2 linked regions of the Cricetulus griseus genome follow. The protein of the gene in region 2 binds, or shares a complex with, the protein of the main gene of each other region. Links are inferred from orthologs where the notes say so. Each region holds a gene or a part of one and is shown on either strand. Other genes may lie near its edges.

Evidence for each region.
Region 1: the proteins of 14-3-3 protein gamma (region 2) and Hdac4 are in contact, whole or in part, in a crystal structure (PDB 3UZD), measured with the Homo sapiens proteins. The link is inferred for Cricetulus griseus from reciprocal best matches to the Homo sapiens genes YWHAG and HDAC4. Residues at the interface, in NP_036611.2 of Homo sapiens: Asn43, Leu44, Ser46, Val47, Lys50, Asn51, Arg57, Phe122, Lys125, Arg132, Tyr133, Gly174, Leu177, Asn178, Val181, Glu185, Leu221, Ile222, Leu225, Asn229, Trp233; in NP_001365345.1 of Homo sapiens: Ser348, Pro349, Ser350, Leu351, Pro352, Asn353, Ile354, Leu356.

Annotation. Positions count from the first base shown.
Region 1 is NC_048595.1:443,653,267-443,658,286, reverse strand, and holds part of Hdac4 (histone deacetylase 4), read left to right. Parts: intron 1-1,468; exon of another isoform or gene 1,469-1,713; intron 1,714-3,520; coding exon 3,521-3,756; intron 3,757-5,020. UniProt on the Homo sapiens protein: Responsible for the deacetylation of lysine residues on the N-terminal part of the core histones (H2A, H2B, H3 and H4).
Region 2 is NC_048597.1:114,932,214-114,937,760, reverse strand, and holds the start of 14-3-3 protein gamma, read left to right. Parts: upstream 1-2,293; 5' UTR 2,294-2,492; coding exon 2,493-2,579; intron 2,580-5,547. UniProt on the Homo sapiens protein: Adapter protein implicated in the regulation of a large spectrum of both general and specialized signaling pathways. Binds to a large number of partners, usually by recognition of a phosphoserine or phosphothreonine motif.

The DNA.
Region 1 (5,020 bases), on a different chromosome or scaffold from region 2:
GCATCCTATGTGATAACTTGAGCCTAAAGTTTATTTTGTCTGATGCTAATGTCTCCTTCACAGATTGCTCTTGGTTAATGTTTGTTAGTTACTTTTGTCATTGTTGTGACCAAATACTTGACAGCTACAAGGGAGGGGAGATTTATGTTGGTTTATGATTTCAAGAGGGTAGGGAGGGTGTGGCCGAGCAGAACAGGTCAGGTCATGGTGGGCTAGGAAGCAGAAAGATTGGCTGCTGGTGTTAGACTAGCTCTTCCAGTTCCCTCTTTCATTTTCTGGGTCCCTCAGTCTGTGGGATGGTGCTTCCTATATCACGGTGGCTCTTAGTGCTTCTAGAAAGGCCCTCACAGACACACAGAGGGGTTTTCATCTCTTGGGGGTTTTCTAAGTAGAGTCAGTTGGGCAGTGGTGCTTAACCTGCACGGTTTGTGTGATAGATCTTTTCCTATCTTTAGTTTATTTGTGACTTCATAGCCAAGTTCAGCTCTATGAAGGAATGTATTGTGTAGCTTTGTCATCATTGCCATTGTGTGAATATTACACAGGCTAAGGTGACCACATTGTCACATGATGATCCTTTCTAATGTGACCACCCTGTGTTTGCTATATGCAGTCTGTTGTTGACTTGAATGTCATGTGGCATGTGTCTGTATTGAAAATGTGTTCGTGTAGGTTGCACATTGCTGGGCCTCTGTTGCTTAGGGAACACTGATGTTATATAAAATGAGTGACCTTCTGTCTCTAGGCCATTTCCAGTCCTACCTCATGGTGGTTCTTTCTACTTGGTACAAAAAAATTACTGTTTTTTATTAATATGTCTGACAAGCTCTGTCCCTTAGTGGAGTGTCTGGACAATTTGAGAAGGTCGCAGATACAGGTGAGAGTGGGCTCAGTTGTCCTTGATTCCCAAACTCAAAAGCATTGTCTCTTTATCCTCCTGTTTAAATTGTTGTTACTGTTTTTAAATCTTAAATTTCTGCATTTATTAGACTTTTTTGTTAGGACTATTTACTGTCTTTTTTGAACTGTGGTAATGTTTTCATTATACATTTTTGTAGTGTATTAGTTATGAACCTCATTCTTCTTTTAAGCCCTGTTATTTCTAGTGTTCACTTTTGCCAAGTTTGAGTTCTCCCAGAACAAACATATTGTGTCACAACAAAAACTCTTGGGTTCTCTTACAAGGGGCTTCTCTCCATCAGTGGAGCTTAGAGAGCTTGCTGGAAGCCTTGGGTGGGAGCTGTAACCCTGGCAAGGTAGGCTTGGGTGGTGCTCTGGTCTTGAGATGCTATTCTTTGAGGAAAAACCACAGTCCCCATCTGGGGCCTGTCAACAAGGTGTCCAGACTATTTAAGAGCACACCTCAGAACATGATTCCTGTCTTGGAAGAAAGTTTTTTGGAAGATTGGCTAGACATGTCTCAAGAAATGAGGGTGCATGGGGTAAGGGGTGGGGTGGTCAGAAAGAGAATTAGGCCAAATGAAGGTTTGCAAGGGAAGTAGTGGAGAGCATTGTTTAAAGTTTACTTAAATGGCATCCTGACCACAATGAAGAAAGCCGATACTGTGGAAGATGTCAGCAGTCACGTGCAGAATGTACCAGAGAGGCCACCCCGCCTGGGAGTGCAGAATAAACAGCAGATGCGTCTGAGGCAGGAGGGGTGGATCTGTGGAGAGAGTCCAGCAGCAGTATACAATCTCTCAAGAAGCCAGAGTGAGTTGAATAAAAATAATCAAGGGTGACTGAGCATTTTCCAGAGCAGGAAGATGGAAATGTATTCAAAGGGTCTTGCTGTGAGCAAAACGAATCAAGAGACACTTATCGGTACACCGTCTGACAGTATTTTTCGGTTTCCAGACTAAAGAAAAAGACATGGTAGCATTTAGGCAGAAGAAAATGACATTAGCAATACCCAGCCCTAAAGGTTATGTAGACAGAACTCTGGGATAGCTGGCCTTAGGCTATTCCATGGTGCCAAGGGAACAGCATTACAGGATAGATGGTGTGGCCTGAGACTTTTATACCTAGCCAGGATGTGTGTGTGACTTTGTGTAAGATGGCTTCAAAGTTGCCAGAATAATGGGGTTTGCAGGATTGTGCCACCTGCCTCCCTTTAAAGAAGTGGTGTCCTGACTGAGAGGAGTAAAAGTTCTGAACCTATGGATAAAAGTCATGGTGCTATTGGGTGCATATCAGTTGTCATAAAGATAAGGGTTACATAGGTGTAGGTAATAGTGCAAAGCCGGAAACCACCTTGAATAGCCCACATTTGAAGACTGTCCTTGACATGATGAACTGATTAGTTGCAAGCAGCTGGGGAAAATCCTTGACTTGCTTAATAAAAGGATACATAGGCTGGACATGGTAGTGGATGCCTTTAATTCTAGCACTCAAGAGGCAGAGGCAGAGGCAGGACCAGCCAGCCTGGTCTAAATAGTGAGACAACTCTTTAAAAAAAAAAAAAGATTCATCACATTCTAAAAGAGAGAGATAGATACAGACAGATGTCTCAGTAGGTACTGGAGCCAGAGTCAGTCAGGTAGTCTTGGGTTGACATTCATTGGCTTGTCTCTGAAGTGACTGAGTTGTGAAAAGTCTGGTTGGGGAAGAATCTGTTAAATCCAGGGCTTTTGACAGTGCCCTAAAACTTGCAGTCTTCCCAAACCCTCCCAAGTGTTTATCAAGTGGTGTAGAGTGACCTGGGAAAGGGCATCTGGGGAGTAGGATGCGTTCTGGGCAGTGGGTCCTATGGGCAAAAGACTGAGAAAGAGAAGTATAGCACAAAGGGTCTGAGTTTGGATGTTACCTACCCCTGCCTCTTGGGAGTGCTTTTCAGGTGCTTTTCTGCATGGCCATGCATTCCTTCTAAACCTGGGAAAATGTAGTTATAAAGATGGGCACATGAGAGAGAACTTACGGAATTCGAACTAAATTTTATGGTAGCAACTATGTGCAGAAAATCTGGATGGCCGCTTATCAGTAGAAAGGCAAGGTGAGACAGTGGCATTTTCCCTGTGTACATCACAAAATGGTGTAGCTTGGAATATATCTGTATCAGCAGCAAGGTTCTATACTACTTCCTTCCAAAAGACTGACGGTGGGGATGTTTCTGTAAGGGTGGTTGATATCTCTAGATGAGATTTTTTGCCGAGGTTGATTTTGCCCCCCCCCCCCCAGACATTTTTGGCTGTCATAATTGGCTAATGCTACTGGCTTGTGGTGGGCGGAGGTCAGGGATACAGCTGGGTTTTTGTCATGAGTGTAACAGCCCAGCCACTGCATAGCTATTGGGCGTCAGCAGTGCAGCGGCGATGAGGAACCTTGCTCACCGATGGTGTTTGCTCACATGTGATTTTTGACAAACCTCACTGATAGAAATGGTTTGGCGTGAATTGCTTTGTCCGATTCCTGAGTTCATATACAAAGAACAGAGTGAAAACCTATTTCCTTAGTTAGGTGGTATTGTCCAGATTCAGTGTTCATATCCCAACTGAGGACTCCTTTCTCTCTGACCATGCAGGTTCATCTCTGCAAGGCCAGGTGACAACTGCTCTTCTTGTGGATTACTTGGTTTACAAGATCCTGCCAGTGAGACTTCAAGTTTACGCAGCTGGGACCCGAGCCACCTCGGTTTTGTACTTGCATGTGCTGGTGGAAGTTTGGAGCTGGTTGGAGCTACTGTTTACCTGGACATTTTGAGCCATTTTGAACTTAAGGCGCTGACACTGCTAGCAATGAGCTCCCAAAGCCATCCAGGTAAGGCCTGCATCTTTGGTTTCTAGTGTTCCTCTTTACAGATGTGTAGCTGCTGCCACTGCAGCCTGCTCTGCTTTCCTCTGGCACTTGCTGTTGGTTTGCAGCATCATCAAGTGCTCAGTAACTAGGGTTTCTTGTCTTTTGGTTCAGGGGGCTGGTGTAGACCTCCTGGAGATTCAGAGGATGCCCTGGCTTTGCATGCCCGCTCCAGTAGCAGGCAGTTTCCTTGATGCCAGGAAAAACAATTGTGTTTAAGTAGGTGATGGATAAATACCAGCAGGTAACTTGCAGAGTGAGATTCTTGTCTGGGCAAGTGAGGGGCAGTGCTGCTGTGATGACTCTGGGTGGGGTGAAGCCTTGGTTCCAGCAGCCAGTACAGTATCTTAGTTTGCTTTCTTTGGTGCTGTATTAAACATTTCACAAGCCTTTCTGATTCTCCACAGCCCTAGATGCATTTGGAAATGTTGGAACAAAGTCTAAGGTCAAGGAGCTGGAAGGGCAGAATAGGGTTAGAAACTGCGTGCTTAGGCCTTAACACATACGTATGGGACTTGGACTCGGTAGCAAAGCCGGAACCATGATAAATGTAGAGAGCTCTGCCTGACCTGCAAACTTTCAGCTGCCTTTGGCTACTTCTAATGTATTGTGTAACCTCTAGAGCTTTAGATGCCAGTATCTGTACTGGGCACACACAGGAGGCTGGACAAATGCTAGGATGGATGCTTGAGGCTCTGTCAGCCTGCCCTAGAGTCTGCTCCATTGGGTAGAGGTAGAGGCTTAGGGTCTAAGCCCTTTGCTCCAGGACTGCTGGGAGCAGAATGGTCACACATACTTCTCTGGGGCATCATGGCTTTGATTAAGAGTGTCAGAGGGCAAAGTTCTAGGTTTTATTTAGGTAGGAGGGTTTTATTGATTAAGTTGTTCATGTATTGATCTAAAAAATGGTTTATGGTGATTGTAGAAAAAAGTTAAGCTGTACAGACTGAAATGTCTACAGTAGATAGTGGTATGTAAGTATGCTTTTTGCTCTGCAGTGAGATGGAGATGTGTATCTTTTCTGTGTATGAACATGTAGTGATACGTGTGTCTACATCTGTATGTGAGGTGGATGTGAGTTAGTGTGTTAGATGTTTTTCCATGTTAGTGTACTATGAATATCCTTGATGTCAGTGTTCACACAAACCTAACATTCTATGACAGTTTGTGACTGTGTCTTTATGTGGTTATGACAGTGTTCACAATAGCTCCAAGTTAACATCACATA
Region 2 (5,547 bases):
GTCTATAATCCAGTGTTTGGGAGGCAGACTGATGAGAAAATCAGTTCAGGGAACAATAAAGAGAACGGAAGGTCAGACCATCTCAAAAGAGAAACAAATTAAAAAGTTTAGTGTTTTTTTTTTTTTTTTTTTTAACCTTTGAGATAAGGTCCAAGTCAGCTTATAAATAATTTATGGTCAATCCTCCTGCCTCAGTCTCCCAAGTGCTAGGATTAGAGGGTTTTGATGCCATACCTACATCATTCATTGGTTTAAAAAATTTATCATTTTATGTGTATGAGCATTTTGCTTGTGTGTGTGTATGTGTATTGCAAGTGTGCCTGGTGCCTGTGGAGGTCAGAAGAGGGCATCAGATTTCTCTGAAACTGGAGTTATAGGTGGTTGTAACCTGTCATGTGGGTGCTGGGAATTGAACCCAAGTCCTCTGTAATAACAGCCAGTGCTCTTAACTTCTGAGTCATCTCTTCAGGCCCTTCATTCATTGCCTGATGTTATGTGTTCTGCATTCAGTAGTGATGAAGACAAAATATAGATGTGACCATTTTCTACCACTGTTAAAATATCTTGTGAAGGGCCTAGTGGCTCACACCTGTGTCCTCTGAAGGCTGAGGCACATAGATGGCCAGGTGTTTAAGGTTGGCCTGAGTTACATAGTGAGTTTCAGGCTAGCCTGGCTACAGGGTGAGGCTGTTTCAAGAGAAAAAAAAAATGAAAAAAATAAAATAAAAACCAAACACCTGACACACCTGAGGTGCCTGTAATCCTAGTATGTGGGAGGTGGAGGCAGGAGGGTTAGGGCATTCAAGGTTTGCCTTGGCTACATAGGTAGAAGTTTGCCTGAACTACATGAGGCCAGGTCTCGAAACAGAAAACAATGGGTATTTTATAAAAGAGAAAGTCGGAAAAACAAAGGAACCACAACCAACTATACAAACAAAATCGATCAATAAAATAATGTAGAGTCTTTGTCTATTATTTAAAAATGAATTAATTCCTGGGCAGAGGCGGGGCTAGGTGAAGGTCAATTCCCAAGCTAGGGAATATGATTCAGTTGGGAACATTCATGTAAGACCCTGGTTTTGTAGTCTCAGCACTCTAAGACTGAAAACGAAAACGACAAACCCAGACCTCATCTCCCAACTCCTGAATTTCTTAGCCTGTCATTCAATGTCCCGTAGAAATTAATGACCCCAGTAGAGTTTCATGAAACACCAGACAACCTATCAGTAAATAAATTCCAGCTCTAGGGGAGGCAGAGGCAGGAAGATCTGTGTGTTAGAGGCCAGCCTGGTCTACACAGAGAAACCCTTTCTGGTAAAACAAAACAAACAAACAGACAAACAAAAAACGCAGTCAAAACTATAGGGGGTGGTGAGCTCAGGGAAGTGTTGGGTCAGTGAACTGAATCTTGGAGGGAGAAGGGATTTCCCCAGGGTCAGCCTGTAGACAGCTACATCACTTAGGGAAATTAACAAATGTACAAGGCGGATATGTGTCATTCCATGATTTCACCCAGTGAAGCCCCATGTCAAAGTGCATCACTGGAAACTGCAACATTCGGGTGTGCGTGTGTGTGTGTGTGTGTGTGTGTGAGAGACAGTCCTCTAAGTGTGTGTGTGTGTTTGTGTGTGAGACAGTCCTCTAAGAGTTGCATCATTTACGCAACCATCTCTCGGGCAGCCTCACCCTTTCGATGGTGGTGGTTGGGCAGTTTGGATTTACGGTGTCTGCACTGTGTTCTTCCCCATCCTCCGACCATGATCTGTAACCTCTGTTTCACAGAGTCCATAAATGAGGCCCTGGCTTTCTCTCCTCTCAACTGCCCAGAAGCCATGGGGCGGGGCCGTGAATCAGCACTGTTGCAGGCTGCATCCCCGCCAGGGGTCCCCAGCGGCCGCGGGCTTAGACCCTACCCCCACCCGGTCCGCCTCTGCCGGCGCTACGCCCGCTGGGAGATGTAGTCTCCGCCGCCCCTTTGTCCTTGGTCTCCTCTGCCGGTCAGTTCGCTGCGGGTCGAACTACTACTCCCAGGAGTCCACGCGGCAGAGGCAAACGGTGGGGGCGCTCAGGGGGACGAGGAGCGATCTGAAGAAACTGAGGCGAAGGATTTGGGGTACATTAGAGCGCAGTGGACAATCGGGGAGACGCTGAGAAAACCTCGAAGAGCCACAAGGAGTGTTCCAATAGGGGCGAAGCCCGCTAAAGGAGGGGCCGGGCGGGGCCGGGCAGCTCGCGCGCATGCGCGAGTGGGCGGTGCCTTTGCGTCACCCGTGTGGGCGGGACCGCAGGGGGTTGTCCGTCCGCGGCACGCATTAGAGCTGCAGCCTTCTTGCGCCGGGTGCCGCGGTCGCAGCTCGTGCAGCCTTTTGCTCGCCCTCGCCTAAGCAGCTCGCTTCGTGCGTCGGCCTCCGACGCCCCTCTCTTTCCCTAAAGCCCTTCAAGGCGGTCTCCGGTGTCCTCCTCTCCAGCCGACCCGCTTCAGCCCCGCGAAGATGGTGGACCGCGAGCAACTGGTGCAGAAAGCCCGGCTGGCCGAGCAGGCGGAGCGCTACGACGATATGGCCGCGGCCATGAAGAACGTGAGTGTCTCCTCCCCTCCCCCCTGCCTCGCCCAGCCGCTCCCGAGCACCGGGGTTCTGGGCGTGGAAGGCATGCTCGGGGGCATGTCGCCTGGTCGTGACCGTGGGGTCACCCCTCCGTCCCCCTCCTTGGAGGGATTAATTAGGGACGGGTCCTAAACGCGCGACTCGGGCACCCGAGTGGTGACGCGGCCTCTTTCCCAGCCTCTCCGGGCTCGGGGCTGGGGCGGGGTCTGGCGTGGCTGGGCTCTGCTGGGGAGGGGTCTCTAAGTGACCCTGCTCGTCCAGGCTTCCGAGTCGGGGGCCGTGCGCATCCTTTGTGCCCCACTTCCCCTCCTCCCCGCTTAGGCGTGGGGGCGGGGGGACCGCATGGATGCGGTTCCTCTTTCTCTCCCTGGTGTCTGGGCGGCGCCTTTCCCATTCACTCAGCTGGTCTCCCAGTCTTCCGCCTCCCCACTCCAGCAGCTCCCCCTCCCCATCATCTTCCCCACTGACACATCCTTTAAAGAACATTGAATATTTCGGGAAGAAAAAAAAAACGTAGATCCCCTCCCCCAAAAACCCGGGCTTAATGGTGTAAAATCGAAACCACCTTGCTCACGTTTTTCTTAACAAAAGGCTTCCCTTTACCCATTTCCCAAAGCGAGTCCTCTGACTTCTACGGAGGGAGGGATAAGTGTGTCGTTGGCATTTCCATTCATGGCCCTCTGTGTGCCATATTCAGTTTTCATTGAAAAGGGTTAAACATGCCTTTGAATGCTAACTGACTGATTAAATTTGTGACATGCAGTTTCTCTTTTGAATGTAGGCACGAGTCTCCCGAAATTCCTTTAAGTGTAAAAAAAAAAATCCGTCTAATCTGACATTGCAAACAAAGCGATGCAGGGAGGCAGTATCAAGTCATTCCAGAAGATTCTGCATTTGTCATATTGCAGAGAGCCTAGACTGGGTGGAGGCTGGGAGGAGGGTTTTTTTTTTTTTAAATGTATCTGAGGCTTTTTCCCTCTGACCTAATGCATCCTCATACTGATGAGAAGAGAATACTGATCTCCAGTTGTCGCATTTTTGTCTGAGATGCAAAATTCTACCTATTTGCACCATTTTGTCAGTAGCACTTATTTATTAACGAGTTGGGGACCAGTTTGCCAGCAGAGGGGCAGTACTGAGTATTGAAAAATTAAGTAGAAAAATTAATAATTGGGTTTCCCACTCCCTTAATATTTAACTTCCTACCTTATGTAACAAAGGTTGTTAAATGCATCTCTGGTGTTAAGTGGCTGGAGTGTGCCTTGCAAGTTAAACCTTTCAAGTGAACGAATAGCATTAATTTTTAGTTAATTTTTTTCTAGTGTTTTCAAAAGTCCAGGTGTTTATCCTTTCCTAATCAAATGAGCTACAATTTTTTTCTATTTTATGAAAAAATAATTTGGCTTTAAGACCAGAGCTACTGTTGTGTTAGTGTGTTGCTACAGTTTCCTTTTTATAACGGTTTAACAGTTAAAGGATACAAGTTGGACTTCTGTGGGTCACTAATGTTGAAAATGTCTTCAGTTCGTGATATTTAGACTCTAATTCTCCCCTATTTCTAGTTCCACAGGAGAGCGAGTGACCTCGCACCTATATCCATAGCAACCCAGTGATGTCACACACAATGACACAGAGGCTGCAATGCACCTAAGGGCTGGTAGGGAGTTTTCAGATGGCATTTGTCCAAGGTAATGCAGAAATGAGCTGATAAGCCAGGTGGCATTGAACGTTTCATCTTCTACCACATTGGCCTCGATCACCAAATAAAAAAATTATTTCACTTTAGACATACAAGGGCAGTGACTTCTAGAAAAGTCCATTCACCTTAAATGTCCCTTAACAACTTTATAAGATACTTTCATATTTCTCAATATCCATATCCATATCACTTACTTTAAAAACCCAGTAACGAGGAAGTGAAGGAATTTCTAAATAAGAATGTCTCTGGTCATAGCGAGGTGGGTGTGCATTTAGTGTTATTTCAATGAGACAGCTTTTCATTAAAGCATTATTAAATGATGGCTGGCCATCTGCAGTAGCTGTTAGGAAATGAAAACCCAGTACAAAGTGTTTTCCATCCGAATGAGGGAGGTTGTACTCTGCTGACCATGCTATGAGAGGAAGAATGATTTGTAAGATATAGGCCTTTTAAAAAGTTTTTTTCAAGCCTATTTTCTGTGGCCTTTTAAGAAAATCAGCTTACCTCTCACCCCCAGTTTCCACACAATACTTACTTGAACCAGTGAGGAACATGGTTCCCCAGTGTGGTAACTCAAATCACCTGTGTCTCAAGCATGCGTCTCTTGGTTCAGTCCCTGGCACCGGAAAAATTGATGATGAAGGGAATTAAGGTGTAGTTTAAGCATCTAGGGTAATTCTGGAAATGCCACGTTTGGAATTCATGCACAGCTATATCTGTAGGTGACTAGGACATCAATAGTTAGGGGCAGTATTCTGAATTAGGAGAGGAGATAAATGTGCAATTTTGCATTTGAGCAGAATACCTAGATGGTTCCGACTTGTTAGGTTATCCCACTCTCCCCTCCCCCCACATATTCAGATTCTGTCATCTCACTTTCCTTTGGCTGATCACAGTCCAAAATAAAATGTAATAAAGTCTTCAGTCTATTGTTATAATTGTTCTTTCTACTTATCAGTTATTGCTCTTACTGTGCCTGTCAGAGATTAAATTTATCACAGGTATGTATGAGATACAGTGTTTGGGTTTAGCTGCAATTTCGGTATCTGCTGGGGATCTTGGAACACATCCCTTTGGGCAAAGGTGGAGACCACTGGAATATCCTGCCTTTGGCTTTCAATAGCCTCTTGAGAAGTTAATATACTGAGTAGGCCGCTGGTACTTGCATCCTGGGGGGAAGGAGGTCCTGGACCTTGGGGTTACTGGATTAGAACTCTGGACTTGGGATTACAGTGGTTGAAG